Arabidopsis thaliana: one gene and its partners. The protein of the gene in region 3 purifies or fractionates together with the protein of the main gene of each other region. This does not show direct contact. Each region holds a gene or a part of one and is shown on either strand. Other genes may lie near its edges. The genes, in order: AT1G26880, AT1G67430, BBC1 and AT2G20450.

The links.
Region 1: the proteins of BBC1 (region 3) and AT1G26880 fractionate together in Arabidopsis thaliana (co-fractionation; one large-scale study listed by BioGRID). This does not show direct contact.
Region 2: the proteins of BBC1 (region 3) and AT1G67430 fractionate together in Arabidopsis thaliana (co-fractionation; one large-scale study listed by BioGRID). This does not show direct contact.
Region 4: the proteins of BBC1 (region 3) and AT2G20450 fractionate together in Arabidopsis thaliana (co-fractionation; one large-scale study listed by BioGRID). This does not show direct contact.

What each region holds. Positions count from the first base shown.
Region 1 is NC_003070.9:9,313,482-9,320,742, forward strand, and holds AT1G26880 (Ribosomal protein L34e superfamily protein), read right to left. Parts: upstream 3,400-7,261; 5' UTR 3,201-3,399; coding exon 3,122-3,200; intron 2,999-3,121; coding exon 2,919-2,998; intron 2,681-2,918; exon of another isoform or gene 2,534-2,680; intron 2,449-2,533; coding exon 2,339-2,448; coding exon of another isoform or gene 2,317-2,338; exon of another isoform or gene 2,253-2,316; coding exon 2,159-2,252; 3' UTR 1,824-2,158; downstream 1-1,823. Other genes in the region: FEZ (NAC (No Apical Meristem) domain transcriptional regulator superfamily protein), read left to right, coding at 1-146, 738-1,502; AT1G26890 (FBD, F-box and Leucine Rich Repeat domains containing protein), read left to right, coding at 4,108-4,896, 4,963-5,172, 5,251-5,388, 5,475-5,597; AT1G26900 (Pentatricopeptide repeat (PPR) superfamily protein), read right to left, coding at 6,275-7,261.
Region 2 is NC_003070.9:25,258,630-25,266,220, reverse strand, and holds AT1G67430 (Ribosomal protein L22p/L17e family protein), read right to left. Parts: upstream 4,088-7,591; 5' UTR 4,013-4,087; coding exon 4,010-4,012; intron 3,901-4,009; coding exon 3,864-3,900; intron 3,780-3,863; coding exon 3,739-3,779; intron 3,648-3,738; exon of another isoform or gene 3,515-3,647; intron 3,307-3,514; coding exon 3,076-3,306; intron 2,984-3,075; coding exon 2,881-2,983; intron 2,797-2,880; coding exon 2,729-2,796; intron 2,639-2,728; coding exon 2,594-2,638; 3' UTR 2,364-2,593; downstream 1-2,363. Other genes in the region: AT1G67450 (F-box and associated interaction domains-containing protein), read right to left, coding at 1-58; emb1688 (Minichromosome maintenance (MCM2/3/5) family protein), read left to right, coding at 499-1,176, 1,255-1,473, 1,557-1,751, 1,838-2,022, 2,121-2,316; AT1G67420 (Zn-dependent exopeptidases superfamily protein), read right to left, coding at 5,863-6,092, 6,176-6,485, 6,578-6,738, 6,833-7,057, 7,212-7,336, 7,467-7,585.
Region 3 is NC_003074.8:18,164,792-18,172,430, forward strand, and holds BBC1 (breast basic conserved 1), read right to left. Parts: upstream 3,910-7,639; 5' UTR 3,858-3,909; exon of another isoform or gene 3,271-3,857; 5' UTR 3,257-3,270; coding exon 3,151-3,256; intron 3,053-3,150; coding exon 2,919-3,052; intron 2,659-2,918; coding exon 2,500-2,658; intron 2,402-2,499; coding exon 2,180-2,401; 3' UTR 1,917-2,179; downstream 1-1,916. Other genes in the region: AT3G49000 (RNA polymerase III subunit RPC82 family protein), read left to right, coding at 1-142, 221-258, 329-421, 507-590, 684-836, 921-1,055; AT3G49020 (FBD, F-box and Leucine Rich Repeat domains containing protein), read left to right, coding at 4,288-4,301, 4,377-5,259, 5,340-5,474, 5,558-5,869.
Region 4 is NC_003071.7:8,809,888-8,817,458, reverse strand, and holds AT2G20450 (Ribosomal protein L14), read right to left. Parts: upstream 3,628-7,571; 5' UTR 3,537-3,627; coding exon 3,534-3,536; intron 3,381-3,533; coding exon 3,279-3,380; intron 3,057-3,278; coding exon 2,927-3,056; intron 2,827-2,926; coding exon 2,714-2,826; intron 2,445-2,713; coding exon 2,388-2,444; 3' UTR 2,080-2,387; downstream 1-2,079. Other genes in the region: AT2G20440 (Ypt/Rab-GAP domain of gyp1p superfamily protein), read left to right, coding at 4,208-4,318, 4,436-4,531, 4,610-4,713, 4,794-4,993, 5,081-5,203, 5,284-5,372, 5,465-5,570, 5,635-5,732 and 3 more.

The DNA of each region.
Region 1 (7,261 bases), on a different chromosome or scaffold from region 3:
GTTTAAAGAAGTCCTTAGTGTTCTACAAAGGAAGAGCAGCGAAAGGAGTTAAGACTGATTGGATGATGCATGAGTTTCGTTTGCCTTCTCTCTCCGAACCATCTCCTCCTTCTAAGAGATTCTTCGACTCTCCTGTCTCTCCCAACGTAAGCTCATATTCTCTCAGTAATTTTTTCTTAGGTATTGTTTATTAACAAAGAAAATAGGATTGGAAGTTATCCGGATCGGACGACAAGTTAAGCTATTATTAGTTATTAAGATCGCAAGATTTGGTTAGAAGTTTTTGAAGAGTAAATACATATCTCGAACATGGTGCATTTTTGTGTTGTAAAGTAGTGAGTTTGAACGAGTTAAATGAGAAATTTATTGATTTAATTGTTTTGTATATCTATCTTTAGGTCTGAGAAAGCAAAATAAAGTCTTAAGTTTTTGGTAGAAGACATATTTGACAAATATTAAATGCGAGAGATTTTAATATATGTATTTTAGGTACTCCTTTTATGTTTCTTTGATATTAAGTTTAAATCTTAAATTATTGTGTGTGTGTGTGTTTTTTTCTTTTTGTACTACTAATCTTTCTTTTAATAAGTATGTTTATTCAAACAATTTCTCAAAAGTAAAATATAAAATAATTAAATAAACAAAGTGCAAATATTATTTTGAAATTAGTGGACTTCTATTTTCTATAAATTAAACTCATTTGTTATTAACATTTTGAATGATATGGACCACTGCAGGATTCATGGGCTATATGCAGAATCTTCAAAAAGACCAACACAACGACCCTAAGAGCTCTCTCTCACTCTTTTGTTTCCTCGTTACCACCAGAAACAAGCACCGACACAATGTCTAACCAAAAGCAATCAAACACATACCATTTTTCTTCAGACAAGATCCTCAAACCTAGCTCTCACTTCCAGTTTCACCATGAGAATATGAACACTCCCAAAACTAGTAATAGTACAACTCCATCCGTTCCCACTATAAGTCCCTTCTCTTACTTGGATTTCACTTCATACGACAAACCCACCAACGTTTTCAATCCGGTTTCATGTTTAGACCAACAATACCTCACAAATCTCTTTCTTGCCACACAAGAAACACAACCTCAGTTTCCCAGGCTCCCCTCGTCAAATGAAATCCCATCGTTTCTGCTAAACACGTCTTCAGATTCGACCTTCTTGGGAGAATTCACGAGCCATATCGACCTCAGCGCAGTGTTGGCCCAAGAGCAATGTCCCCCGCTTGTAAGCCTACCACAGGAGTATCAAGAGACGGGATTCGAAGGAAATGGTATAATGAAGAACATGCGTGGTTCCAATGAAGATCATCTTGGTGATCATTGCGACACACTTCGGTTTGATGATTTCACTTCAACAATTAATGAGAACCATCGTCATCATCAAGACCTGAAACAGAACATGACATTGCTGGAGAGTTATTATTCTTCTTTATCGTCCATCAATAGCGATTTGCCAGCTTGTTTCTCCAGTACAACCTGATGTATGTGGATAGATTTTCCCATCTCTGCCTTCTTGGCTTGCTTTTTTCAAGCTAGGGTATTTCCTCTTTGTAGGCTTTCTCTTTCACTAAATTAAATCGTTTATTAATTATGCTTCCTTGAGTTTTTATTTTTCACAAGCAACTTTGCTTTAATGAAGAAGGCATGAGGTAAGTCAAGATGAACAAGAGAAAAACTGAATCGAGTTTTACTATATTCAAAATAAAGACCAGTAAGTATATTATTTCTGGAGCTGACTTCATTAATCGCATACGAGACTGTCGTTGTAGAATTCCCAAAAATTGAAGCATAGTTAAGATTTAAGACTCAAAATTGCTATTCCATAGTTGTGTCATGACGCTGAGAACATTAAAGTGCAAGCTTGATTTAGCCTCCGAGAGATTCAGAAATATTATATTAACCAAGAAGGTAATCACAACAGCTTATGTGATATGCATCAACAATAGAACATTAAAGATGAATTCAACAATTCCAAAACTGAAGAGAAGAGAATTGTCGACAAAGTTAAGAACTGATAACAGAATACAAAGCTTAAAAATTGGTCGAGTAACATAGATGTCCTCACATGACTGCACCAAGTCCTATCACTTGAACATAGCCATAATTCCAAAACAGAGAAGAATAAAACATAAAAGCTTAAGCCTTGGGGGCTACTTTCTCCTTAGCCTTTTGGAGTTTCAACACTTTCTTCACAATCTTTTGCTCTTCGACAAGGAATGCCCGAATGATCCTGTCGGAATCCAAAAACAACATTACGTTAAAGAACACCAAATTTATTGTAATAGAAAGATGACTCAAGTAAGATGGACAACAAACCTTTCCCTGACTGCAGAACCAGACAAGACTCCACCGTATGCTCGGTTTACAGTCCTCCTGTTTCTTGATAATCTTGACCTCTTGTACTCAGAGGGCCTCAAGTGAGGGATCTGAATAAACAAACAAAGTTATTCACATAATGCAAAAGGAATATGCCATTGCATAATCAAACATATATAGTTGGGAATAAACTGAAAATTTATGCCAAAGGTGGATAGCAAATCCTTATGTAATACAAGGAACAACTTGAAAGACAAAGTGGCACCGACAATTTAGCTTATGATTTATGTTATGTACTGATGTGGGATTTATCTAATCAGCACAAGACCGTCAATAAGCACAATACTATTAACTAAGTAACATGGTTTCTTGAAATAAGAAGACATGCCCATTAAAAATGAGACTGATCAATACTCAAAACATTCTAAAACACTCAATCTGATTGATTTGGTTATACATAGCCATCAAATTCCTAAAAAATTCAAACTCTTAACTCTATCTAGACCTCAAATCAAGACTCTAGATACAAGAACCATGTAAACCAAATCACACGAAGCCAAATCGAAATCAGAAGACTTACTCCTTGAATACGCTTGCCAGTAACAGGACATTTGGGGCCACTAGCTCTCTTCTTTGTGGTTTGATACACCAATTTACCTCCTGAAATCAACAATCCCAACACACATTACACTATGAAGAACAGATCGGTGATTAGAGAATTATGAGACTAAAGCAGAGGAGATTGAAGATATCAAGGAAGAAGAAGAAGAAGAAGAAAGGGACCTGGAGTCTTGACGATACGGTGCTGGTTCGATTTGGTGGCGTAGCTGTGTCGCGACCGGTAAACAAGACGCTGCACCATTTTCGCCTCCTTTTCTCTTTTAGGGTTTTCGTTTGGAACGAAGAATATAAGGGTGAGACTCCAAACCTAAACTAAGACTACAACTATATGGGCCTTTTCTCATTTTGGTCTTTAATTATGCTCCAGTTAAAGGCCCATGTACAAATAATTAAAAAAAATTCAACTTGTAAAAACCAATTCTATTATTAGCTGCAATTAGAATAAGTATCGTTTGTATGTTGTAGTGAACAGAAACTAGAAACATTATTACCAATTTTTATTTTGATTTTTTAAGAAATCATAGATGCATTAAATTATACGTAGAACTTTAAAAAGATTAATTAGTATTATAATCCGTTTAGTCAAAACACATTCAATTTATTTTATCAAATAGTGTAACAACAAAAAATTTAAATTCATGGCACGTAAAAACATAATCGATACATTTACAAGGGCGTGGTGCAAGCAATTAGAGCAAGCCAAGTAGAGAAATTAATCAAGGTTGGCGGCAAAATTGGGAATTGGAAAATAAATTCATCCAAAATAACAAATGGAAATATAAGGACCAGGCTAGAAAATTTGGATTTTCAACAATTTTGTTTGGTTTGATGATTAGATTTTTAAGGGAAAAAACTAACAATTATGTAAGAATGAGAATCGATTGATATATTTTATGTGTGTCTATATTGCAGTTTTACTTTAAAAATTGGGCAACTTTAATTTAGTTTCTTTTTTTATATGCATTAATAATATATATATATATATATATATATATTTTTTTTTTTTTTTCTTTGAACAAATAATAAATATTTGTATAATAATTGTTTTTTTTTGAAAAAAAGCTTTATAATATAGACTCACTTTTGTGTCACAGCCAGCGACGAGAAAAAAGTTCCATTGGCGTCTAGCTAGGTATCCGGTATCCCACATGGCCACATCTATGGGTTGCTTAAGTTGTTGGTCTTTTTTTTGGGATATTATACACGACGATGAGCATATATCAACTGTTCCAGAAACCGAAAGTTGTCAGATAAACGAAACTAGAATCTGTGCTTTTCCTAACGATTTGCTCTTGCAGATCTTGCATCACGTCCCAACAAAAGAGGCAGTCGCCACTTCAATCTTGTCTAAACGATGGCGTTATGTCTGGCCGATGGTGCCTAGACTCGAATTCAAAGAAGATGACAGCGAGAGCGTGGGGTGGTTTATTGAAAAGTCATTGCAACTCCATAAGGCACCGAAACTAGATAGTTTGGTTGTGGAACTCGGTCCACATTGTCCTGTTGACGTAGATGTCGGAAAGTGGGTTGAGAACGTAGTTAATAGAGGTGTGAAAGAGTTAGATTTCAATCTCCTCTGGACCGCAGAACCCACAGGATTTCCTAAGTGCCTTTACACATGCAACACGCTCGTTGATTTAAGTCTATCCAACAAGATTCTAGTGAACGTTTCTTCCCCTGTTCGCCTACCATCTCTCTTAACTCTGAGTCTTCGCTTTGTGGTGTACAAAGACGAAGAATCTCTTGTTAGCCTTTTATCAAGCTCCCCTGTTCTCAACTGCCTGAAGGTGGATCGACATAAGGATGACAACTTGACAAAATTTACCGTGAAAGTATCTACCTTGAAACAGTTACATTATAATACTACTCGGCGGAAGGATGGGGTAGAGGATGAGGAAGACGTGGTAGAGGAAAATGAGGTAGAGGATGATGATGATGTAGATGAGGTAGAGGATGATGAGGAAGGTGTGGTTGAGGAAGTTGACGTAGGTGAGGTAGAGGAGGATGATGATGATGATCTCAATAGATCCTTGGTAATAGATTCCCCTGCATTAGAAATTTTACGCTTACGTAACGTTTTGGACTATTGCTTGATAGAGAATATTTCTTGCCTTCATATAGCAAAACTCGGCTATGTTCATAACCCCGATCACAAGTTTCTGAGATCTCTTTCTTCTGTCATACATATGTACTTGTATTTGACCAAGCCAATGGTACCGATTACATATCTCCGATCCTCTTCTTTTCCTTGTTGCTTAGCCAACTAATGTTATATTTTTTTTTAATCACAGGTTGCGTGGTGTAACACCATCAAGTTCTCTCGGCTCTTGGAGTTTTATTTTGTTCCAAGCAATTTGGTAGATTGGTTGGAACCACTTATGTATTTGCTTCAAAATTCTCCTAAACTACAAATTCTTACGATTGACACTGTAAGTATACCATCCTCCTCCCCTTAAACACAAGTGCATCTAGTTTATAGATGAACTTAACATTATAGCAAATGTATTGATATCAGGATTCTACGTGTCTCCCACCTTCATGGAACCAGCCGAGTTCTTCTACTATTCCCGAATGCTTGTTGTCTCATTTACAGATCTTTAGGTGGGGAGGCTATGGAGGAAGAGAAGATGAGAAATAACTAATGACATACATTCTCGCTAACTCAAAGTGTTTAAAGAGAGTGGCGATCTTTCTCTTAGCAACCTGCAATCTTGAAGAGACACAAATGGAGTTAGAATCTATGCCTAGGAACTCAACATCATCTCAACTTCTAACCTCCTCCCATAAAATGAATATGTTTAACTAGGTACGCTATCATTTCATGATTTCATTCACTTGAACTATTAGGTTATGAGTTCAACCAATAGAGTTTCATATATATTCTTTCTTTCTTTTTTAACAGCATCATGACAACAATTGAGTAGCCACATACTGACTGTCTAAGATTATGATCCATCATGCCCAAAGCCAGCAACAACCATCATGTTATTAACAATTGAGTGAGCTTGTTCACGTAAGTAGGAAACAAAACCTAGATGATTCTTTTGCAGCCAGAAACAATTAACAGAAGGACAAACAGAGAAGTGCTTGGGTGGTGAAAAGGGGAAAGAATGTTTAGAGCCCGTCAAATAGATTTTTCACAATCCATCAAAACTGTTTCATTAAGATCAATTGTCTCCTTTCTTTATACATAAGTTACTGTTTTAAAGCATAAAGAAAGAGTAAATACAGGGGTTTACCTTATTGAACAACATTTTGCTGATATAGTTTTCAACAAAAAGGTCAGAGGTGAATGAACGCCAGAGATTGTCTACTCTATTCTATTTCAATGGCGCTGTATCCAGCTTCTTTTCTCCCTTTATTCAACTCATTATCTAATGATTTTTCTGGGTTCCCTGCAACAGCGTGTGTCCCAGCTAGAAGAATTGCATCTGCCGGATGAGTCTCACCCATTTCAGCCAATCTCATCATCACACTTTCCCCCAAATCTGCATTCCCGTATACTCTACAAGCAGCTAGCAGAGCACGCCAAGCCGTTGAATCACTTGTGATCGGTAAGTTCCTTATTAACTCATACGCTTCCTCTAACTGCCCCGCTCGACCTAAAAGATCAACCACACAACCATAATGTTCAACTTTGGGCGTGAAGCTGTAAGCCTCAACCATCCTCTTAAAGCATCTGATTCCTTCCATTACCAACCCTCCATGGCTACAAGCATTCAGCACAACCAAGAAGGTAATCTCATTGGGTCTCACTTTGCAGTTCTCTTCCTCCATCTTATTGAATAGTGTTACTGCTTCTCTTGCTAGTCCATGAGCTCCATAACCCGAGATCATCGCGGTCCAGGACTTTACATCCTTATCCTTCATTCTATTGAAAATCTCAACAGCTTTTTCAAGCAATCCTACTTTTGCATACATATCAACGAGTGCAGTTCCAAGTATTGCATCCAAAGCTATTCTTTCCTCTTCCAATAGATCAGCAACAGTACGTCCTACGAATGCTGCTTCACTGTACGCACAGGAAGACAACAGCCCAACAAATGTAGATGAATTCGGTTTCATTTTTTCATACTTCATCTGCCTCAGTAGCCATACACACTCTTCAAGGAGACCCGTTTTGGCATATTGGTCTATCATACAGTTCCATGTAACAACATCCTTTCGAATGGCGCAATCAAAGATCCTGCGTGCTGAACTGATACCCCCAGTTTTGCCGTACATCCCTATCAAAGCTGTGATTAAATGCAAGTCTAAATCAAGGCCAATCTTGATGCATAACACATGAGCAGATTCTGCTCC
Region 2 (7,591 bases), on a different chromosome or scaffold from region 3:
CCCTAGACAAAATCTCTTCTACCAAATCATTCGGAAGATCAGACATCATCATCGTCATTTTTTCAAATGAAAAATTAGGGTTGAACTATCACGTCTTTTCCACACTTTTAAGATTTATTCTGAGATTGTTCACAGCATAATATGGATTAATCTTCTAGGAAGCCTTATATTGTGTAACAGATTAATTGTACAGATGCCTTTCATTTGCAGACTTATTAAAGATGAAATGATTAATAAGAGCAGATTTGTTCTTTTTAATCATCAGTCATCATCAATGTCAATATTAATAAGCCATCAAATCAATGAAAGACTTGGAAAAATATCTCAAACTTACTTACACCTTCCCACACACATTTACGGTCGATTATATATGCAATAGATGGGCCCTAATTTTGGGCCCATAACACTTATCACAAAAGGCCCATCACTTTAAATCTTCTTCATAATTCACTGCTCTCTTCCTCACTACACAGTTTTCTATTCTTCTAGAATTTGCTTATGCAGACATTTTCAATTTCACTCCTCCGTCACTCTTCTCCGTTCCTCCGTCACACCGCGATTTTTCACGGCGGAGTTGGAGTTAGATTCAAATTCCTTCGCAGCTTTTCTCCTCTCTCAGCAAGACGAGATAATCCCGATGTCTCCAGAAAACCCCAACCGAGCAAAAATATGCTCAGAGCGAAGCACATCGGTAAAAATTACTCCTCCTCCTTGTCACCAGTTCTCTCGCCGGAGCATAAACCTTCGCTCTTAGAGTCTCAAGCTATTGGTACTGTCGCAACAGCTCAAGCGAACTTTATGCGCGTCATTGTTCAAGATGTAGCTAATTCTGTGACGAGTGATGATGATAATGATTCTTCAAAGACTGGTGTTGAATTGCTTTGTGTGGTGAGAGCTGTGTTGAAGAAAATACGAAGGAGAGTTTTAGTTGGAGATAAGGTTCTTGTTGGATCTATTGATTGGGTTGATAGAAGAGGAATGATTGAGAATGTGTTTCATCGACGTTCGGAGATTTTGGATCCACCTGTTGCGAACGTTGATCATTTGCTTGTTCTTTTCTCTTTGGATCAACCGAAACTTGAGCCGTTTACTCTTACTAGGTTCTTGGTGGAAGCTGAATCTACTCGTATTCCATTAACACTTGCTTTGAATAAAACTGAACTCATTAGTGAAGAGGTAAGGAGGATGAAGAAATTGTATTTTAGATCACTTTGTTGGTTTAGGGATTGATTAGAATCATAAACTTGTTTACAGGAATTGGAAACTTGGAAGATAAGGTTGCGTGGATGGAACTATGAACCATTGTTTTGTAGTGTGGGAACTAAAGATGGACTTGATGATATTGCGTTTGTTCTGAGAGATCAGACTTCTGTGATTGTTGGACCTAGTGGTGTTGGAAAGTCGAGTTTAATCAACGTATTGAGGAGTAATCATGGTGGTGGTGTGGTGGAAGATGAGAATTGGTTTGAGCCTGTAAGGTTCTTTTGTGTTATTTCATTTTACAGCTTAAGTTTTGTTTGCCAGATTCTTATGAGTTGAGCTTTTGTGATATTCAGATGTTAGGTAATAAGTGGTTTGATGATCAGCGAGTAGGGGAAGTTTCGAGTAGAAGTGGTAGAGGTAAACATACAACACGAAATGTATCGCTACTGCCGGTTTCTGAAGGTGGTTACCTCGCTGATACTCCTGGCTTTAACCAGCCTAGTTTGCTGAAAGTAACGAAGCATTCACTAGCTCACTGTTTTCCTGAGGTTTGTTCTTTGTACCCTTTTGCTTGTGCCAATCTCCCTTATTGGCTGACTGTGACGATGTGTTACTTTTTAATTGTTTCTTTTAGATACGGAACATGATTGAGAGCGAAAAATGTGGATTCAGAGACTGCTTGCATATTGGGGAACCAGGATGTGTTGTGAAAGGTGACTGGGAAAGGTATCCTTACTACTTACAATTGCTTGATGAGATCAGAATCAGGGAAGAATTTCAGCTTAGGACTTTTGGAACCAAAAGGGAAGATGATGTTAGGTATTGTTGGGATTTCTCCTGAAAGAACAGCTTTATTTTTAGATTGAGATTGGTCGCAGTCACTAATGTTGTTTACTTTGGAATGATACTTGACACAGGTACAAGGTGGGAGACATGGGTGTGAAACATGCTGAACCACGGTTAATGCCTAAGAAGCATAGGAGAGAGTCAAGGAAGAAAACGAAACAGACAATGATCAGTGAGCTGGATGAGTTCGAAGATGAAGACAGTGATTTGTACATAGAGAACGACCCAATCGTCCAAGCCATTGAGAATGAGAATAAAAGACAATGAGAGAACTCAAGTTTCCACTATAACTAAGTCACATGATGTAAAAGATTGTACAGATCTTTTTAAGTTCTCAGCTCTTTTGTTTGTCTGAATTATTGACTAATCGAACTATCGAACTAACCAAAACTTGCAGAACCATGATCACTGATTTCATAAGTCATAGAACGAAAATTTCCAAGATAAATCTATCCATTGTCTTACAAAACGATTCGAGCTAAAGAAAAAAGAGAACAAAATCTCGTTCAAGAACACAAGGGACATGAAAATAAAGAAAGAAAGCTTAAGCTGCTGATTTCTTGGACTTGGCAGCCAACTGAGTCTCCGGCTACAATTATCAAAAACAAATACGAAATGAGAACACTGTTGTTATTAACACTAGTCCTGAATTTTTCCAATGAGATGAAATATATATTACCTCTTTTTTGACAGGCTCTTCCTTCTCTGACAAAATCAACTCAATGTGGCATGGGTTGGACATGTAAGCTGCAACCAAGAAAGACAAACTGAGTCATACAATGGATTACAAAAAGCTATCAATGTAAGTGATTTACAAAATCTCAAACTTACGGTTGATTCTTCCGTGAGCACGGTAAGTCCTTCTCCTTTGCTTTGCGGCCTGGTTCACTTGGATGTGTGATATGAAGAGGGCATCAACATCCAAACCTTTCACCTGAACATTCAAAGTCAAAATATGCTTATTAGCAAAAGGGTACAGAGAGAAACAAGAAAAAGTTTCCTTAATTAAATGAATGCTCGTCTCACCTCAGCATTGCTCTCAGCGTTCTTGAGCAAATCAAGAACAAACTGAGCAGACTTGGCTGGCCAACGTCCTTGACCATTAGAGTGCCTGTTCTTAGCTTGAGCAGTTCTCCCAACACCTCTGCAGAAACGTGTGAAGGGAATTGCTTGCTTGTGAGCTATCACATCCTCAAGGTACCTCTTCGCCTTGATCAATGGTAGCTTCCTGATTGCGTGCGCTGTTTCCCTAGTATTCTGTTTCACACAATCCGAAGAAAACAAAACACAATAAGAACCAACCAACAAATTCAAAAACACAGTATTAATTATGTGGAATCACTAACCAAAACAACAAGTCACTAAAATTCTACATAGGTTCACATAAGAACAATAACAAAGCAATACTAAGCGATTAACCAAAAGCCCTAAAAATAAACAAGCCTCAAAAAGTGAAATGATAAATCAATGTACCATCATGTACTGAATCTTATAGTTATGAGATATATAAACATAGATTCACCCAATCACGATGACCAATTCAATTTCCCTGAAGTATACGTGAGATCTGTCAAATTGCAACAGAACTCTGCTTTTTCTCAATCAGGTTTAACCTAAAACTACAATCTCCTAATCATAAATCTAACTACATCGAATAATCAAAATGACAATTGACAGAGCTATACATACCTTGAAGTGAACCCTAAGATCGGATCCTCTAGCCTTGCAAGCTGCAAAATCAAAACCAAAGGATTACCACAAAGATCAAAACAACGAAATGGTACTAAGAAGTTGATACAAGGAGCTTTACTTACACTTGGTCTGATTGTCGGGTTCTTGCGAGTACTTCACCTGCGAAATCAGCAAAGACAGGGTAAAGAAAATTAGGGAAGAAGATTTCTAGGTCAAATCAGCGAGAAGAGAGATGGAGTTTGAGAAGCTTAAGCAATTAAGCAATTACCATGGCGGCTAATAGAAGAATCGGCTGCAGAAGAGATGTGAGATTTGTGAAGACGAGAGTTTTTATATAAGAGTGAAGCAATAAACCCTGCGAAACCTAGGTTTAAATGGGCCTTGTCCATTTTTAATGGGCTTTCTAATAATGCCCATCAAGACTATGAATTGGTAATTAACAATTACTTATTACAAAGGTTGATATCCTTACTCATTTTTGTTTCATCAGGCCAGATGTATTTATTTTATGTAAGTAAAATCTCTCTTCATTACTTTTTTTTATAAGAAATGCAATTGATTAATTCGTTCTTATAACCACAATTTTTTTGAAAATAAGTTAATTAATCGGAAAATGAGCTAGAGATCCAATTTTCACTATTTTGTTTTGTATTAAACTAACCAACTTGCATTCTTTTAGTTGAAATTAGTTGTTACTATGTAATATGGCCTAAAAACTGTCCAATCCATCATTAAATCTCTAAAATAAACATGGTGAGTAGTTTTCGGGTCTAAGAATAGAGTTATGCTCAACTCTCATCAGGTTCAATAGAATTCTACTTACTTATCAAAAAAAAGTGTACGTATTTTGTATATATTGGTGGAGTATGTTGTTTTAGTTGTAGATCATTTGCTTAAAACTTCATTTTTTGTTTTATATATATAAATATGAGACAACAATCACGAATGGTTACTATGTCATTTGACTTAATTGTTATACGTAATTTCTTACTTACTCAGTTATATCATATGTCATGTCATGTCATTTGACTTACTTGTACGTAAAATATTATATGTAATGAAAATATAGAAGATTAACAAGTTTGCTACATGAGTAATGATTGCTTCATATGTAGAAGCCAATAAGATCTTGAATACCTTGGGAGGAAGCTCTATCGATTTCATGGGGGAGAAACTAGCTAAGTATACTATCGATATCATTGAAACCTGAAGAGTTGATTCAACATCTACTGATATCGCTGATAAGCGTATCATCACACATATTAACGAGTGGATTGACGATTATTTGATGGTGCACCACGAGGGAGGAGTTTTGGTGGTATGCATCGGAAACGTTGACCTTCGTGGCTCAACTTAGAAATGATAGGACACATTATTTGATGGCGCACCACGATAAAATAGCTGTCGTTTATAGAGTCTTACTCTTGTCACATATTTGAGTCCAAAAGATAACGAAAAAAATAAAAACAATATTTTGAAAAATTATTTATATGAAACAATATTATTTATTTTGTTGCAATTAGACTTATTCATTACCTCGTGGCATGTACGTGGACTTTGTAATTGTAACAGACACTTCTATTGGTTTTTCATGTGTTTGTTATTTATGTGGTTTTTCATGTGTTTGTTATTTAGGTCAGTACGGTTGTTTAGCTTACTCTTTTAAATTTTTTCATTTGCAAATTGCAATTGTAAGGACCACTTGTATTTAGGTCCGTTATTTAGCTTATTCTCTTAAAAATGCAGAGAAACTATCAATTTGTGGTATTACTCTCGGTAGACAATAATGCTAATGAAACTTCTCAACAAAACAAAAAACAAGACTATATCTTTTGATCATGAAGTTAAATTAAGGATAAAGTTAAATTAAGGATATAAGACTATAGTTGCACCAATCAAAGTATAAGATTATAAATTATCAAAGAACCAAGTAAATGTACACAATTACTATATCAACAAAGAAAATGTACTTAAGACTTGCTCATGTTAGTATGATTTAGGTATAAATAGAGTATGCGGTTCCGATGTCAAAAAAAAAAAAACTTTCCCATGTTAAGAACGGATTTATTTATTCTCTAATGTTTTAGAAATATCAAAAGGAGAATATGAAATAGTCTACGATCAGAACAAGTAAGTAGAAAGAAAACTAGTGTAGGCAATGACATCGGACCATTTTGGGAAAAGACCCTTCAAATGTATAGTTTCTTCATCAAGACGTTGATCAAGAACAGCTACATCTACTCTCACTTCTTCTTCACTACTTGCCTCTAACCAGAAGTTCCACTTCTCATCGCTGTTGCCACTCAGTCTCAATATGTACGAGGGAGGACCACCCGGTGGGAGTTCAGGTGCTGCAACAACGATTAGTCATTTTGGTTTTACGGTTTTTAGTAAATGCTTTAAGAGAACGAAAAAGAGGTTCTGTGTGTGTCACCTGGAGGTTTGCCATCGGCAAAGGACCACCCTGATAACGGTCCGGTTATGTTCAAAACCGTGACCCAAATCTCCTCCAACGACCTGCAAATGGAATAGTTAATAACCAACAAGACCAATAGAAGTTCTTTATGGAGTCCAACTAACCCCAGAGAGAGCTCCAGATGAACTCTGCGAGTTCCATTTTCAAATGTTGTTTGCGGTTTATGCGCTTGTAGGAGTGGGAATTGGCTATATCGTTCTAAAATATTGTTGGCTTTAGCAGGGAACCTCCCGTTTGTTGTTAATACACATGAAATAGGGAAAAGTGCCTGCAGATACCAAACAATTCTTTACTTCAAAACTGAAAACACTTGCTATCTTACCAATAGCATGTACATAGAAACGAATCTAATGAACGTACCATCCAAGCTTCTTGAGGAGACGCTTCAGCGTTTCCCAATGAAAAAGAAGGGCCAACATGAAGTTCCTTTGCCACCTCCGGAGCATGCTTAAAAATGAACTCCATAGAATTTGAATCAATGACAGCTAAATCATAACTTGAGCCTGTGATTTCATTTCCACCTGCAACAGGCACATTAAACATTTACTTCATTTCAGCAGACGAAGATTACTCCGAAAGGCGAAAACAGTTCCATATCGTGTGAGAAAACGCTACCAGTAGAGATGAATGTGTGTTGGAGTACAACTCTCTTTGGTGCATCTTTGCTATAAGGAAAGAACTGTGATGATACCGCCAACATGACTACAGTGAAGTGAAGCAAGAATTTCAAGATCGACGACTTGGCCAGCCAACGATCACAAATTGGTATTATTGGACCCAAACACAAGCCGGTGACGATTCCAATGACTGCAGCTACTGCTACATCTGCTAGATAAAATCCTGCAAACCAAAATAATGTACAATAAACATCTCCACAGTGAAAGCCAGACTTGCAATCACAACAAGCTATTTAAATGTTTTAATGGTAAAATTCTCAATCGGTTTAGCTGAACCAGAGATGCTTTTGGAAAGAATTGAGTTCAGTAAAGCTAACCATAAGGTGGTGGAATTGCTCCCATCATTCCCGTCTTCTCAATTAATAATAGTGTAAGAATACCACCAAAATAGAGAGAATACAGAAGGCATGGAACAAGAGCTATCACATAAAACATGGGAGACCTGGATGAAATGAACTTTATCATAAACAAGGATCTTATTGGCTAAAGATATGTCCTATGATCCAAAAGGAATATTCAAGTTAAACTAATCATCAACTTCACAAAAGTTAGGTACTGTCTAGAAGTCTTACTTGATCGAATTATAGCCATAGGACTTGACTGACAAATAGAAAGCAATCCACCCTAGTAGCATAGAAATGGAGATGACAAATGTCATGAATCCTCCATTTAATCCAGCGAAAAAATATGCCTGAAA
Region 3 (7,639 bases):
TCCATTTATGAAGAAGTTATTAAGACAGAAGCAGGTCGCACTATGTTACAAGAGCGAGTTGAAGCATGCCTTGACCAATTGAGTGCTACGTCTTCTTATCTACCAGCATTTGTGAACGAAGTGAATGATTCATACATAGTTGGTATAGTAACTCCATTCAAAATCTAGTCAAATGATTCTTGTATTCAAAATAATATTATTTTGTTATTTGGTTTTGCAGATTATAAATCCATTATCAGCGTAGCACAGAAAGATGAGGTGCGTTTCATATTTTTCTTTTCTTGATATATTTCTGAAACTAAAAACGGTATCTTTGAGATGTTTCCAGATAGAGGCAGTAGTGATGAGAAGATATGGGAAAGAAGCTTTCAGAATGTTCAGATACTTATCACAGGAAGGGCGTTTTGTTGAGACCGATAAGGTTAATGACTGTTCTTTATGATTCATATAGAAACATCTTAAGTCATAATGATTTCTTAACTTCATCATTTTTTTCTCTCTGTAAGATTGCTGATGCCGCGCTGACTGAAAAGAAAGATACACCGCAATTCCTTTTAAAGATGTGGAAAGACGGATACTTACATATGCAGGTATTCACAGTTTGGAAACCAAATCATTATCAAAAGTAAAACGAATTGGTTGTTACGAGATTCATTGTTGTTATCTTCTGTTCATTTTTGTAGAAATTGGCGGTCACAGCTCCGGGTATGTATACACCGTTTCTGTTGTGGAAGGTAAACAAGTTGATTGTGACAACTCAAATGTTGGATGAGATGTACCATGCGTCCCTTAACTTGAGTCTTAGGTTGGCCCATGAGTTAGAAGCCGAAAAAGAGGTTAGTCACACTGCAAATCGATTAACCCAAATGTGTTTCAAGATGGTCCAGATACTAAAAAAACTGTTATTGCTTTTGTGGCAGTTGCTGTTGTTGCCATTAGATAAACTGGAAGGACCATTAAAGGAGAGACTGAAAAAGGTCAAAGCCAAGAGGCTGTTACTCTCTTCCACTATGTTTAAACTTGATGATGCCATTATGCTTTTTCATGACTTTTAAACTCATACATTCAAAAACTAATTTCTTTTGGTCGATTTAGTTCACATTGTCTTCTAGCATTTTTTTTTTTTTTTTTGACATAATGAGAAGTTGTAACTTTGAAGGTAATTGATACTGTTTCGAGAGAAATGTTGTTTATTATATACTTCAGATTAAGTTTTCAAACTCTTAATCTCTATCAGAAAACCTTCTTTTCCTTTACTATGGTCTATGGCTGATGAGCTTTGGGATGAATTGCAAAATCGGGTTTTGGTGATACAGAGTCTAATGAAGCCTAATAGTCGTCCAAGTCTGAGTTTGAAAAAAAAAAAAAAAAAAAAAAAAAAAAAAAAAAGAGTCGTTTAAGTCTGATTGCCTGACCTCTCAATCCTTCAGTGCAACAGCTTCAGACAGTTCATGGAAAAGTGTTCTCTTCTATCTGTCCAAAGGAGAGATCGATGGGTTTTCAATAATCCGGAAGATATGAAATAATATTGATGTAAACATCATAGACATGTTGAGAACTCTCAATCTCAGAATTCTGACATCTCTTTCCCAACCTCCCCTGCCTGATACTCCTCCACTCAACTATGAGCAAATAGCAGTTGGCTACTCCCCTTCAATATGTTCAATCTTCTATACAAAGGTTTCTTTACTCAGGTTGCTGCACCAATCCCACAAGTCAACAAGGAAGAATTACTCCAAACCATGAACATGAAGTTAAATCTACCCCTAGTAAGTTTGAAATTGCAGAGTTATAAAGGAAGCAACCAGAAGCGTCAATTGTGACCATAAGGAATCATGATTACAAAAGACAGCGTAAGGTTGGAAGATGATAACGGGTTGAACTGCTCAAATGCAGACGAACTGCTATGTCTATTTTGCAGGTTAAAGAGATGCTTTTCGATTGTGTCAATTTAGGCTTAAATTTTTAGACTATAGAGAAAAAAACATACGAAATAAGAGGAAACTATAGCAAGTAGAGATGTGAGATACGGTCTTTTCCATAAATCAAGAGAAGCAAGGTAGCAGCAAAATCAAAGATTTAAGGATAAAAACTGATGAAAGAAAAGACAGTCTGATACACAAAATTCAGTTCCAAAAGTTGATAAGATAAAAGTTTCTTCTACCTAAGAAGAACGACCTCACTTCTTCTCTTCTTTCTCAGCCTCTGCGGCTCTCTTGGCTCTAGCTCCGGCATGCCTCTTGTTAGTGCGCTCAAGGCGTATCTTGTCAAAAGCCTTGAAAGACTTCATTTCTGAAGTCAGCTTGACGAGTTCCATGGTAGGCTTCTCACGTACAATAGGCAAGTAGTCTCCTTGAACTTGGGTAGCATTAGCCAACTCTTCTGGTGTAGAGTCACCAGCCTAACACACAAACGAAAACAGAACAAGTACGAAATCAGTACCAAATCCAACAATTCATTAAACAACTGAACCATAGACCAATTGTTTATAATGATTACCTTGACCTTGCGGGCACGACGCGGGAAAATGACTAACTTGGTCTTGTAGGTTTTCAGCCTCTGGACATTTGTTTGAAGACCCTCCAAAGATCGGTTCTTGCGACGATGGTCAACAGCAATACCAATTGTAGGCGCCAACTTCTTTGGGATACCAGCAGCCTATATTAATCAAACAATCAGATCAATGTTCAGCAAGAAATGAAACATGATACCGATAGTAAAGAAAAATCCAGCCAATTTCAATCAACAATCACAACAATGTTCAGCAGGAAATGAAACACGATAGCTATATATGTAAACAAATAGATAATCCAACCAACTAAGTTCAATAATCATAACCAACAATCCCATCGATATATAGCAAGAAATGAAACTTGATAGTTATATGAATAAATGAAAGAGAGATAGAAATTACAAACCTTGAGCTCTTCAAGAGTGAATCCTTTACCGGTTCTGACCTTCATGTTGTACTTAAGAGTCTGACCATGCACAACAGGGCGGAGAGGTCCAGAAGTTGGACGAGGGAAGATCTTCACAGCCTTCTTTTGCCTCGCTGTGTACAACATAACATAATAAGACCCAAAGAGATTGTAGTGTAAACTTAAAACGAAACATGACAATATCAGAAGTGTTGACATTACTACTACTAACCAATTCTTCTTCTGGTTTTCCTGGCAGGCTGGTTGAACCATGTCTTGACATAATTCTGCCAGTGCTTTTTGAAGTGACCATTGGGGATAACATTGTTGTGCTTCATTTCTTCAACTCAAGCTGCCAAAAAACATCAATCAGACACACTTTAAATCAAATGATGAAACTTTAAACAGCTCAAGGAAATCAAATGATAAAACCTCAAACTTCAAAAACAAAAGACCATCTCAAAGATATAGAGAACATAAATAGAGTAAAACAGATACGAATCTTGAAGTATTTCAAAGATCACTCTTATTAAATCTATACTAAAGGTGAGACTTGTGACAATCTCAAACTCTTAAAGAATCAAAGTTTCGAGAGTTTGTATGCACATTACATTAACAGTCGTAATACAGTAAGGATGTTATCAAAACCAATCAAATAAACGAAAAGTTTCATCACTGAAAGTGTAATATTACTCATTCCAAGGACGATACTTTCTGCAAAATCAATAAAGCATAACAAAATAACAAATCAACGGACGATTTATATCAGATCAATAAAACTCGAAATGAACAAAACAAGGAACTTAGAAAAATCTACAGGAGCTAGCAGCAGAACACACGATGAGAGAAAACAAGCAAGAACCCTACTTATACACAAAACGAGACAGTAGCAACGAAGATAATCAGAGAGACGACAAGTAGAGAGGAGCGAAAACTCACAGAGAGAATCGTCTTCTTGCGCGGCTCTAGACTGAAGTATATCCAAGTCTAGGGTTTACGAGCTTTAAATAGTGAAGACCTAAACTCAGTTTAACTATTCGTTATTGGGCCGGTGGGCCGAAAAAAAAAAAATCAATTTTTATTCTTTGGGCTTGTAAATGTCTTGGGTTTGGATTTTGGTTTCATTGGAAAAAAACGATCCGGCTCGGATTTGATCACTGTTTTTATTCTGTTAGGGTTTTGTATCTAGCCTAGGTGATTCTTTTACTAATCAAACACAAGTGGATATAATTTTGAAGATGAATCTCGTCACCATTATCATATCTAAGCTCTAGCTGGATTCTGTGTGTTCGGCTGCGTTTGCATTTGAGGTTGAAGTGTTAGTAATCTCAAGGATTTTTAGCAAAATTGATGTCTCTGTTAAACGAAAATGGAACAAAAATGGTATGTTTCTTTGTTTCGTCTATGTTTTTTCTCGGAATCCCTTTCATTGTTTTCTTCTGACTTTTTTTTTCACAGCAAAATCGGTGGTGAAGGTTTGAGAAATCGAGGTTTAGTGAATGAGGAGGACAGGATCAGTGAGTTGCCTGAAGCGTTGCTTCTGCTCATATTGTCGTCACTTCCAACAGAAACTGTGATTGCCACTAGTGTTTTGTCTAAACAATGGAAATCTCTTTGGAAGTTGGTGCCAAATCTCAAGTTTGATTCTAAGTATCATTATCATTATACGTTTTCAGATAATGTTTTCAGGTCTTTGATTTCACATAAAGCTCCTGTTCTAGATAGTTTGCATTTGAAAGTTGAAGATAAGGATGATGCTTTGGATGTTGGGATATTGATTGGAATTGCATTTTCCCGCCATATGCGTAAATTTGTACTGAAAATTACATTGCTGGAGGAAAGCTTTGTAAGATTTCCGAGTGCTTGGTGTAGTTGTAATGATACACTTGAAATCTTGGAACTCAAGTATTGCATTCTTTTAGATTTTCCTTCTCTGGTTTGTTTGAAGTCTCTTAGAAAGCTGTATCTCTACCATGTGAGATTTAACGACGAAGAATCCGTTTGCAACCTTTTATGTGGCTGCCCTAGTCTTGAAGATTTGGTCGTGCATAGACATAGCACGACCGATGTGGAGAGTTATACTATTGCGGTGCCATCATTACAGAGACTAACCATATATGATGATTACTATGGAGAAGGTGTTGGAGGCTATGTGATAAATGCTCCTTCTTTGAAATACTTGAACATCGACGGGTTTAATGGTCTTGAGTTTTGTTTGATTGAGAAGGCGCCAGAGCTAGTGGAGGCTAAAATTAGTGCCGTTTTTGAAATAGCCAATGAGAACATTATGGACTCTCTAACTTCAGCCAAATGTCTTTCCTTACACTTAGCACCTTTCAAGGTAAACTTAAGATTTAAGATTTTCACGGGGTTTATCTGTAATTGGGCTAACATTAATGTTCTGTGTTGCCTCATGCACAGATAAAGTATCCTACTGGTAAAATCTTCTACCAGCTTTTATCGCTGGAGCTTCGTGCATATAGCTATGAGTGGTGGAATCTACTTTGGTTCATGCTCGATAGTTCTCCCAAATTACAAATTCTTAAGCTCGTCGATGTAAGCCATTTCATTAGTCAACTAAATTTTGTTTTTCTTCCAGTGAGCTCTACTTTCAAATATTTTAATTGCATTGTTCTCAGCCATATCAGTTTCCTAAAGAAGATTGTTCGGTGGGCTGGGAATGGAGTCGACCCAAATGTGTTCCTGAATGTTTGTTGTTTCATCTTGAGACATTTGTGTGGACAAGATATGAGTGGCAACGAGAAGATGAGAAAGCAGTGGCTACATACATCCTTAAGAATGCAAGATGCTTGAAGAAAGCAACTCTCTCCACAAAACCCATCGGATCTGAAGAGCTCGAGAAGTTGGGAAAGAGACGTGAGATGCTTAACGAGTTGGCTACTCAGGCCAGCCCTTCAAATTCATGTAACCTCGTGTTCGAATCCGAGTAACCTATTGAACTTTTTTATTCTAATGTTTGGCAATTGGCAAGTGTAAAACTCAACTTTACCTATCGATAGGATGCTGGATCTTGGTTACAGTATGAGGAAGAGATTCTAAAGATAATTTAAAGAAAATAAAAGGTAGAACAAGAGGAATAGAGCATAAGCAGTTAAGAGAAGAAATAACATCTCTTATTGGTTTTCTCAAATGTTTTGGAATCATAAGAGGTTTTACTTAAGACAAAAGTTGCATAGTTTTAGGATAGACGAAAGCAAGTCTGTTATAGAAAATGTTGATGAGTTTCAGATGTACACCGCGGAGACAATTCATTTTTTAAAATTAATATATATAAAACTTTGTAAATTATATCTAATTATATAATATTTTTATTTTATAGTTTACAATTGTTATTAAGTAACGTCCTGCCAAACCCGTCCCGCCAAATCCGTCCACAAAAAAAACTATTTATTTTATTAATGTTGATCTTATTTATAATATGTTTATGAATCATTGTCAAAATATTTTAGTCGTTCCGGGACGTTGTATCCACACATTTTTCGCCAATTGGTTAATATATGTTCATTTTTAAAATTTCGAATCACAAAATATGACCAACTTTTTTTTGAGATTTTTTAAAACTCTATATATTATATAATGATGTTAAATATTTTTGATATATTAAACTTTTTATAAATTTAAATATTAATAATGTTTTATGAAGTTTAAATATATAAATAATAATATTTAAAAATTAATATTTTTTGCATTTTAGGTAATGATATAATAACTCTAAAAGCAAGAATTTAGAAGAATTAAATCTTTAATTAAATATTTTTATTCTTAAATAATTAATGTTAGTAACATGACATTGTAAATAAGTTCAAATACATGATCTATTTATTTAAACAACAAACGTTTAGTAAGAACAATATTTATTTAAACAAAAAACTTTGTTTTAAAATATTGTTAACAAAATACGTTTATGCTAATTTTAAGGGATTGATTTTATACGAAAGCAAGTCTGTTATAGAAAATGTTGATGAGTTTCACAATTTTTGGTTATTTGTTTCAGTGATTAACGACTAAAATTGTTTTTTGAAAATTTTAATATTTTTAATTTTAAGTCAAGTAATCAACTTTGTTATCAAGTGAACATGAATTTTGTCGTTACTTTTACTGCAAAATGATGCATTTCGGAAGGTCAAGTTGCTAGATATAGTAGTTTAGGTCATGGCAAAATACGGTCAAATTCGATTTCATCCAAAAAATACGTATATCCGTAACTCTACGAAGCAAAAAAAAAAAACTACAAATGAATATCAGTTAAGAACAGAGCAGATTAAAAAAAAAAAGAACTTACATATTAAGACACATACAAGTTGCTCTGCTTTGGTATTAAAATTATGTAAGTTAATATATATGTAAGCATAACAATATTTAGATGTAAATTTTAAATATTGAATTAGTTATTTAAATATTGAATTAGTTATTTAAATATTAAATTTTAATAAGTTAAAAACAAAAATTGTTTTATTAAATATTGTCAATTTTTGCAGATGACATAATTAAACCACTAAGCAAAGTCCTAGAAGCTTTTTGTGGGTTTGAGCATTACTTTAAAACTAGATTTTAATCCGCGGTATATCGCGGGGACAATTTATTTTTTAAATTAGTATATATAAAAGTTTACAAATTAAATCTATTTATTTTTATTGTATAGTTTACAATTGTTATTAAGTAACGTCCTGCCAAACCCGTCTCGTCAAATCCGTCCTGTA
Region 4 (7,571 bases), on a different chromosome or scaffold from region 3:
TATATCTAATGCTTTTCTCAATGGAGATTTAGAGGAAACCATATATATGAAGCTGCCTGATGGTTATGCAGATATTAAGGGAACTTCTCTGCCACCTAATGTTGTTTGTCGTTTGAAGAAGTCCATTTATGGTCTTAAACAGGCATCTCGTCAATGGTTTTTGAAGTTTTCTAACTCTCTGTTGGCTCTGGGTTTCGAAAAACAGCATGGTGATCATACTCTCTTTGTTCGCTGTATTGGTTCTGAGTTCATTGTCCTCTTAGTTTATGTTGATGACATAGTGATTGCGAGTACTACAGAACAAGCAGCACAGTCGTTGACAGAGGCTTTAAAAGCTAGCTTTAAGCTGAGGGAACTTGGTCCACTGAAGTATTTCTTGGGTTTAGAGGTTGCTCGCACTTCTGAAGGTATTTCCCTATCTCAAAGGAAGTATGCTTTAGAATTGCTCACTTCTGCAGATATGTTGGACTGTAAACCATCCTCCATACCTATGACTCCGAATATTAGATTATCTAAGAATGATGGTCTACTCTTGGAGGACAAAGAAATGTATCGAAGACTTGTTGGCAAGTTGATGTATCTGACCATAACTCGCCCTGATATCACATTTGCGGTGAACAAGTTATGTCAGTTCTCTTCTGCTCCTCGTACTGCACATCTTGCAGCTGTCTACAAAGTCTTACAATACATTAAAGGTACAGTGGGTCAAGGTCTGTTTTATTCTGCTGAGGATGATCTGACTTTAAAAGGCTATACTGATGCGGATTGGGGTACTTGCCCAGATAGTCGTCGATCAACCACAGGTTTCACTATGTTTGTTGGTTCCTCTCTGATATCCTGGCGCTCCAAGAAACAGCCTACTGTCTCACGGTCGTCTGCAGAGGCAGAGTATCGAGCATTGGCTTTGGCTTCTTGTGAAATGGCGTGGCTGTCTACACTGTTATTGGCTTTGCGTGTTCATTCAGGTGTGCCTATTTTATACTCTGACAGTACCGCCGCTGTGTATATAGCCACTAACCCAGTGTTTCACGAACGAACGAAACACATCGAAATCGATTGTCACACCGTTCGTGAGAAGCTGGATAATGGTCAGTTGAAGCTGCTTCATGTCAAGACTAAAGATCAGGTTGCTGATATCCTTACTAAACCACTCTTCCCTTATCAATTTGCTCATTTATTGTCCAAGATGAGTATCCAAAACATCTTTGTATTCTCATCTTGAGGGGGACTAATAGAGTAGCTAGGTGTAAATAACCGGTTCTATGTAATTAGTCGGTTTAGCTTGGTTTAGTTATTATACCATACGTGTATATAAGAGAAACAATTGTACACATTATTATTAAGATGAATAAAACTTTCCCTTTCTATAACAAACTCTCTCTCATCGTTTCTTCATCGTGAAAGGTGATTACGATGGCGGTGATGATGATGGCGGTGATGGTGGTGGTGATGGTGGTGGTGACTTTGTGGTGGTGACGACGTTGTAATCGGTACCGGCGAGTTGATTGGTTTTATCTTAAGGTCACTTATGTCTAAAATATAGGAAATACACACAATATCATTGGACTATTTATTTTGGTTAGTTACCTAATTGTAATATTTTTGTATGTTATAAATGCAAATTTCCATTATAACATCTGTTTCATGTTATAATTGGCAGGGTCACTAAAACTGGCCCACAAACCAGGAAAGCAGAAGCTGGGCCATCTCCATTAAGAATTTTGTTGGTCTCATCAGGCCCAATACACCTTGGGAAATAAACACTAGTCCAAAAACAAGGAGATCAGAATAAGGCCCATATCTATTAGGGATTTTCCTAAGCTCGTCAGTCCCAGTAACAACAAACCTAAACTCTGGCCCAAATCCCATAAAAGAAGAAGTTGGCTCATCTGAATTGGGGTTCTGACCTTGCTTCGACAAAACATGCGTCTGTTAACCGGCGACACAACAACACAACAATATCTATAAATATGTATCGTTTTTCTTCAATTCAGAGAATTTCGTTCTCCTCATAGCAACAGCAACATCACGTAACAATTTGGCCTCTAAAGTAAGCAAATGTCCAAATATTCAGCAGCTAAGATTCTACTTGGTTGTAAGATTTTTGAAGATATGCGAACTAAACGAAGAAGAAAAAACTGCATCTACTAAAGATCGAAGTTCATAGGTGGTTTAAAAAGATGACCAGACCAATCAGACCAAGACTTTAGAAAGAAAAACTAAACTAAAATAATAATATCCGATAGCAAAAAAAATTCACTATTTAGTAGCCCGGAATCAGCAAAATTGATATCATAATTTGCACTAAAAAAAACTCAACTTGTCATAATTTGCACTAAAAAAACAGTTGCAAAAATAAGATTTGGTAATGGATCATAATTAAGAAATCAAGCAGCGATCTCCCTTTTTAGCTTAGCAAGCTCCTGCCTCACAATACCAGCCCTCTGCAAAACAATATTCATATATTAGAGGTTATTCAATAACACTAAGATGCGTCTTAATACAATCCAAAACAAACCAGTATCAAACCAAAGATCATAAACCCAAGAAGATGGTGAATGTAGTAGTAGTAGATACAGTTTAAAGTTTAGATAGTATTATTTCTAAACCACAACCGAAAGTGAGGGCAAATGAAGCAGTGAAAACTCATCTGCATTTGCACAAAGTAGAGTTGACTAAAACAACATTGGTGGATACAAAGAAGTAAACCAACCTTGATTTTGGCCAACATGATCTTGAACCTGTCAAAATCATTGAGGGCAGCTCTTCTCTTCTGCACAATAAGTTTCCTACCCCATGAACTCTTCTCCCACTTGTTCTTCACATCTGCATATAACTTTAGAGCTAAGATGACCCAACCCAACCAACAACAAAAAAAGGCCAATAAAACCTACGAATAATCAAAAGTATGCTACAACAAACTCACCAGCCTTCTCCATTGCCTCAATCAAAACCTTCTTCTTGGGAACTCTGTTGATATCAATGACGATGTCAGTAAGAGACAACCTCTTCAAATTCATCTGGATTCTCTCCATGTCAGGGGCATCCACAAGTGCCTAAAAAGGACAAGATAAACAGAAACACTTTAGACAAAACATAAACCATTTCAAAGACTCCTAGCTTCAGCCAAAACCACAAGTATTAAACTAAGCATACAAATTCTACTCCTAGCATCATAACTATTGTATCAATATATATTTCAGTGAGCAATAAGAAGATAGTTACATTGATTACAATACCAAATCGAAAAAAAAAACAGAGCTTGCATATCAAGTTACCCTGTTTTGGTCGACTACATCGACGATAACCACGAGCTTTCCATAATCCTCGCCGTAGTTAACGAGCGCCACTCTCCCAATCTCCACGAATCTCTTAAAACCCTTCACAATCAAACACAAAGTTCTCGAGGTTAAAAACTATATAAATCTGTAAAGATAACAAATTCCAAAGAGAAGCAGCTAGGGCAATAGCAGAATCTTTAAAGTTTTCAGAAACACTAAAATACATGGAATCAAGCGAAGAACATCGCTCACCATTTTGGCCGGCTAGAAGAAACAGATTGGAGCAATTGTGCGGCGAAGAGATTTTTATGTGCCCAAGAGATTATTAGGGTTTTTGATATAAAAGAATTAGGCACATAAGCATATAGAAGCCCACTAACAATTTTAAAGGCCCATTAAATGTGGAGAGATTACATGACGTCGTTTAAGAATACCGAAACCGATCGGTTTAATGTTTGAAATCGGAGCTAATAAAATCGGCTTGGTTCGGTTAAAAAGGAAAGTACTCTGCTAGAAATAGAAAGATGAAAGATGAAAGATGGAAGAAGAAGACGGGCATGTCTCTGAAGATTCCGGCTGTTTAGGATCTCAATCTGTATGTATTTTTCTTTTGTTCGTATTCTCTCTGTAGACAATTTCAAATTGTTGGGTCTAATCGGTTTCTGGATTATCCAAATGATAATGATGATGGTGTTCTGATACTGATTTTAAGGTTATATATATTATTGAGCAATGGGAGCTTCGTCGTTGCAAAAAGAATATATCTTCCTTGTGTTTTCGTTTACATATTTGTAAAGTTTTCATTTTTTCTCCATTCTGATCCTGGGTTTTATTTCTTGAACAGTGGTCTGATGAATCCATGAATGATTTATGTGGGAGATGGATGAAACTATAAGTTTGGTTTGAACAAGAAGAAGGAAGGTTGAATGTTTTGCTGCGGATTTATGTGGAAATCCGGAGGAGAAGATTTGCAAGGTTTCTATCCAGTTAGACCTGAATGTCAACCAGATGTTCCCAGGACCCGTTTTAAATCAAGGGTACCATTCTTCTTCTCAATCACCTGTTTCATGTCTTGATGAATTGATGATACATTAGGTTCTTGTTTGTTTGTTTGTAGCTGATGAAATGATTCATCTTGATATGTAATTTGTCAGGCTGGAAAGACTCTAAGTGCTAGAAGATGGCACGCTGCCTTTACTGAAGATGGCCATTTGGATATGGAAAAAGTGCTTAGACGTATACAGCGCGGAGTGAGTCTACTTTCTTTTCCTGATCTTGTTTCTATCTATATGCTCTTTTTGTTGTTGTTCACTTGGTTTCTTTGCTAGGGAATTCATCCTTCCATCAAAGGCGCTGTTTGGGAGTTTTTGTTAGGATGCTACGATCCAGACAGCACTTTTGAGGAAAGGAACATACTGAGGAATCGCAGAAGGTACTATAGAATTGGTTGATCATTTACTAGTTTTGTAGATGCACGTCATGGCTAACTTTAAATGTTATTGATCATCTAAGGGAGCAGTACGGTGCATGGAAAGAAGAATGTAAGAAAATGGTTCCTGTCATTGGTAGTGGCAAGTACGTCACAATGGCAGTCGTTCAAGAAAATGGGAACCCAATAGACGAATCTTCTGTAGAAAACCAAGGATGGATCGTGAAAAACACTGTTACAGATGAGAGAGTGCTACAATGGATGCTCTCACTACACCAGATCGGTATGCCTTTACATATAAATAAGTTTAGTTCTATCTGATTATCTTCTTATAACCTCTTTTTACATATTCTTGTATATTTTGTTTCAGGCCTTGATGTTGCTAGAACAGATCGGTATCTCTGTTTTTATGAGAATGATCGTAATCAATCAAAACTATGGGACGTTCTTGCCATATATACGTGGTTGAATCTTGATATTGGTTATGTTCAGGGTAAGTGTACTTGCTGTTAACGATTAATCTTTTGAAACTATATAAGAAACAGAACTGATCCACTTTGTCTATTCATGTAGGAATGAATGATATATGTTCCCCAATGATAATCCTCTTTGATGATGAAGGCGACGCTTTCTGGTGCTTTGAGCGGGCAATGCGGAGACTAGTAATAACTAATAGCCTATGACATAACTTCTCATGTTTCATGTCATTACCAGACCATTGTATTCACGGTTTATTGTTTTCTTTGAATTTCAGAGAGAAAATTTCAGGGCAACAGCAACATCAATGGGTGTCCAGACTCAACTGGGTGTGCTCTCACAGGTCATTAAGACAGTGGATCCTCGTCTCCATCAACATCTAGGTAAGAGTGTTTTCCTATCATAAAAACTCTTCTTGTGGTGGGCTAAAACGTGTTAATGTGACAGAGGATCTCGATGGTGGGGAGTATCTATTTGCTATTCGGATGCTGATGGTACTTTTCAGGAGAGAATTCTCTTTCCTTGACGCTTTGTACCTTTGGGAGGTAATGACAAACTTTCTGCATTTCTTTTCTTGGTTCCTGGTTTTACTTGCCGTGATTGTTTATGAAGCCGTAAGATCTTGCTGTGTGTTTATTATCTTCTTCTTTTTTGCGTTATCTGCTGTTTGGGTAATGAGAATAATGTGAGATGGATTATGGTTGCAGCTGATGTGGGCGATGGAGTACAATCCAACCATGTTTGCAACGTACGAGGAACTAGAAAACCGAAACAACGCAGCATCCGATCCCAAGTTACTAAAACGGTATGGCAAGTTTGAAAGGAAATACATAAACAGTGGGCAGAACGAGCAACATCGCAACACGCTTGCTGTTTTTGTGGTCGCAAGCGTTCTACAGACAAAGAACAAACGTCTCTTGAAGGAGGCCAAAGGCTTAGACGATGTTGTTCAGGTCTGTCTCTGTATCTTTTCACTCGTTTCTCTCAAAGCCAAACAAGGAAAAATCAAACTCTGGAACTTCAAAGTTAAAGTTGGTATGCAGATACTAGGAGACATTGCGGGTAATCTTGACGCCAAAAAAGCATGTAAAGAAGCGTTGAAGATCCATGAAAAATTCCTGAAAAAGGTTTCTTTCACTATCACTATAACTTGGGGAAGATATAATATGATATACAGTTATACTAATGCAGATGGTGTTGTTGTGTGTTTCTTGCAGGCTAATAGTAATAAGCAATAAAGATTTGCTCAAAACTTCTACTCGACGACTTTATATATCAAACATATACTAATACAGTTTTTGATCAGAAGATTGTTCATTGCCGGCCAGAAATTTTCTTGAAAGGTTCTGGAAGGAGATTGATGAGAATCCTCTGCTGAATAATTTTTTTTTTTTTTTTTAATTTGTTCATTTTCTGATGTTCTATGTATTTTGTGGTAAAATGTGTGCCGTTTTTCAGTTATACGAATGAACTACGTACGGGCCACTAACCTCTCCTTACATTATTTGACTCTTGGTGATATTTCTTTTTCACATTTTTCTGTTTTGCATGAATGTATAATCTTAAGAAAAATCGTTAAATGTATATAATGATTATTTTTTAATTAAAGTAAATTAATATTTTTATTTGCTAATAGCAAATGACATAGAGACATACAAAAATTGAGAGAATATTTTCGTCAAAAAAAATTGTGTTACAGCATATAATTCACACATTTATTAATTTATGTGATCTATGTGTGAGAATAAAAGAAAATTCATGTTTTTGTACCATTTTCTAAATTAATTTAAGAGTTTAATTAACACATTCTCTACATACATTGAAGTTTACTAAGATTTGGAAAAGAAAAAAAAAAACAGAGAGAGACAAAAGAAAATTAATGTTAATGATTATTCATTTGATGGAACAGAATAACGTAATTTCTATATACTAATTCTAATTTTTGATTGATTTCTGATAGTAATAGATAAACAAATTGTAACCATCAGATTAACGAAAATTTTGGTTTAAACAAACATTTTTGCACTCTTTTTTTGCCGTATCACCTGTATACGCTCTCAACCCATCATTCAAACAAACATCTTCTTAGTTTCCTTCATTTTTGATTCTTAGTTTCTTCGTTTGATGCTTTTTTTTTCCTCTTGGAGTACTCTGAGGATTTTGTAGGTAAATTTCAAAGGAATTTTGTTTATGTATTCTTAAATCTTTTCTTATTAGGATTATCAATTTGTTCTTTTTGATATATAGAAGAATCTGCAGAAAGATAAACCTACAATTTTCTGAGATGAATTCTTGTTTCTCTCTGAACAATATTTTGGAGTCTTGACTATATACACAATTTTTTTTATCTATCATTTTGTTTCCTCAATATTTACTGCCACCAC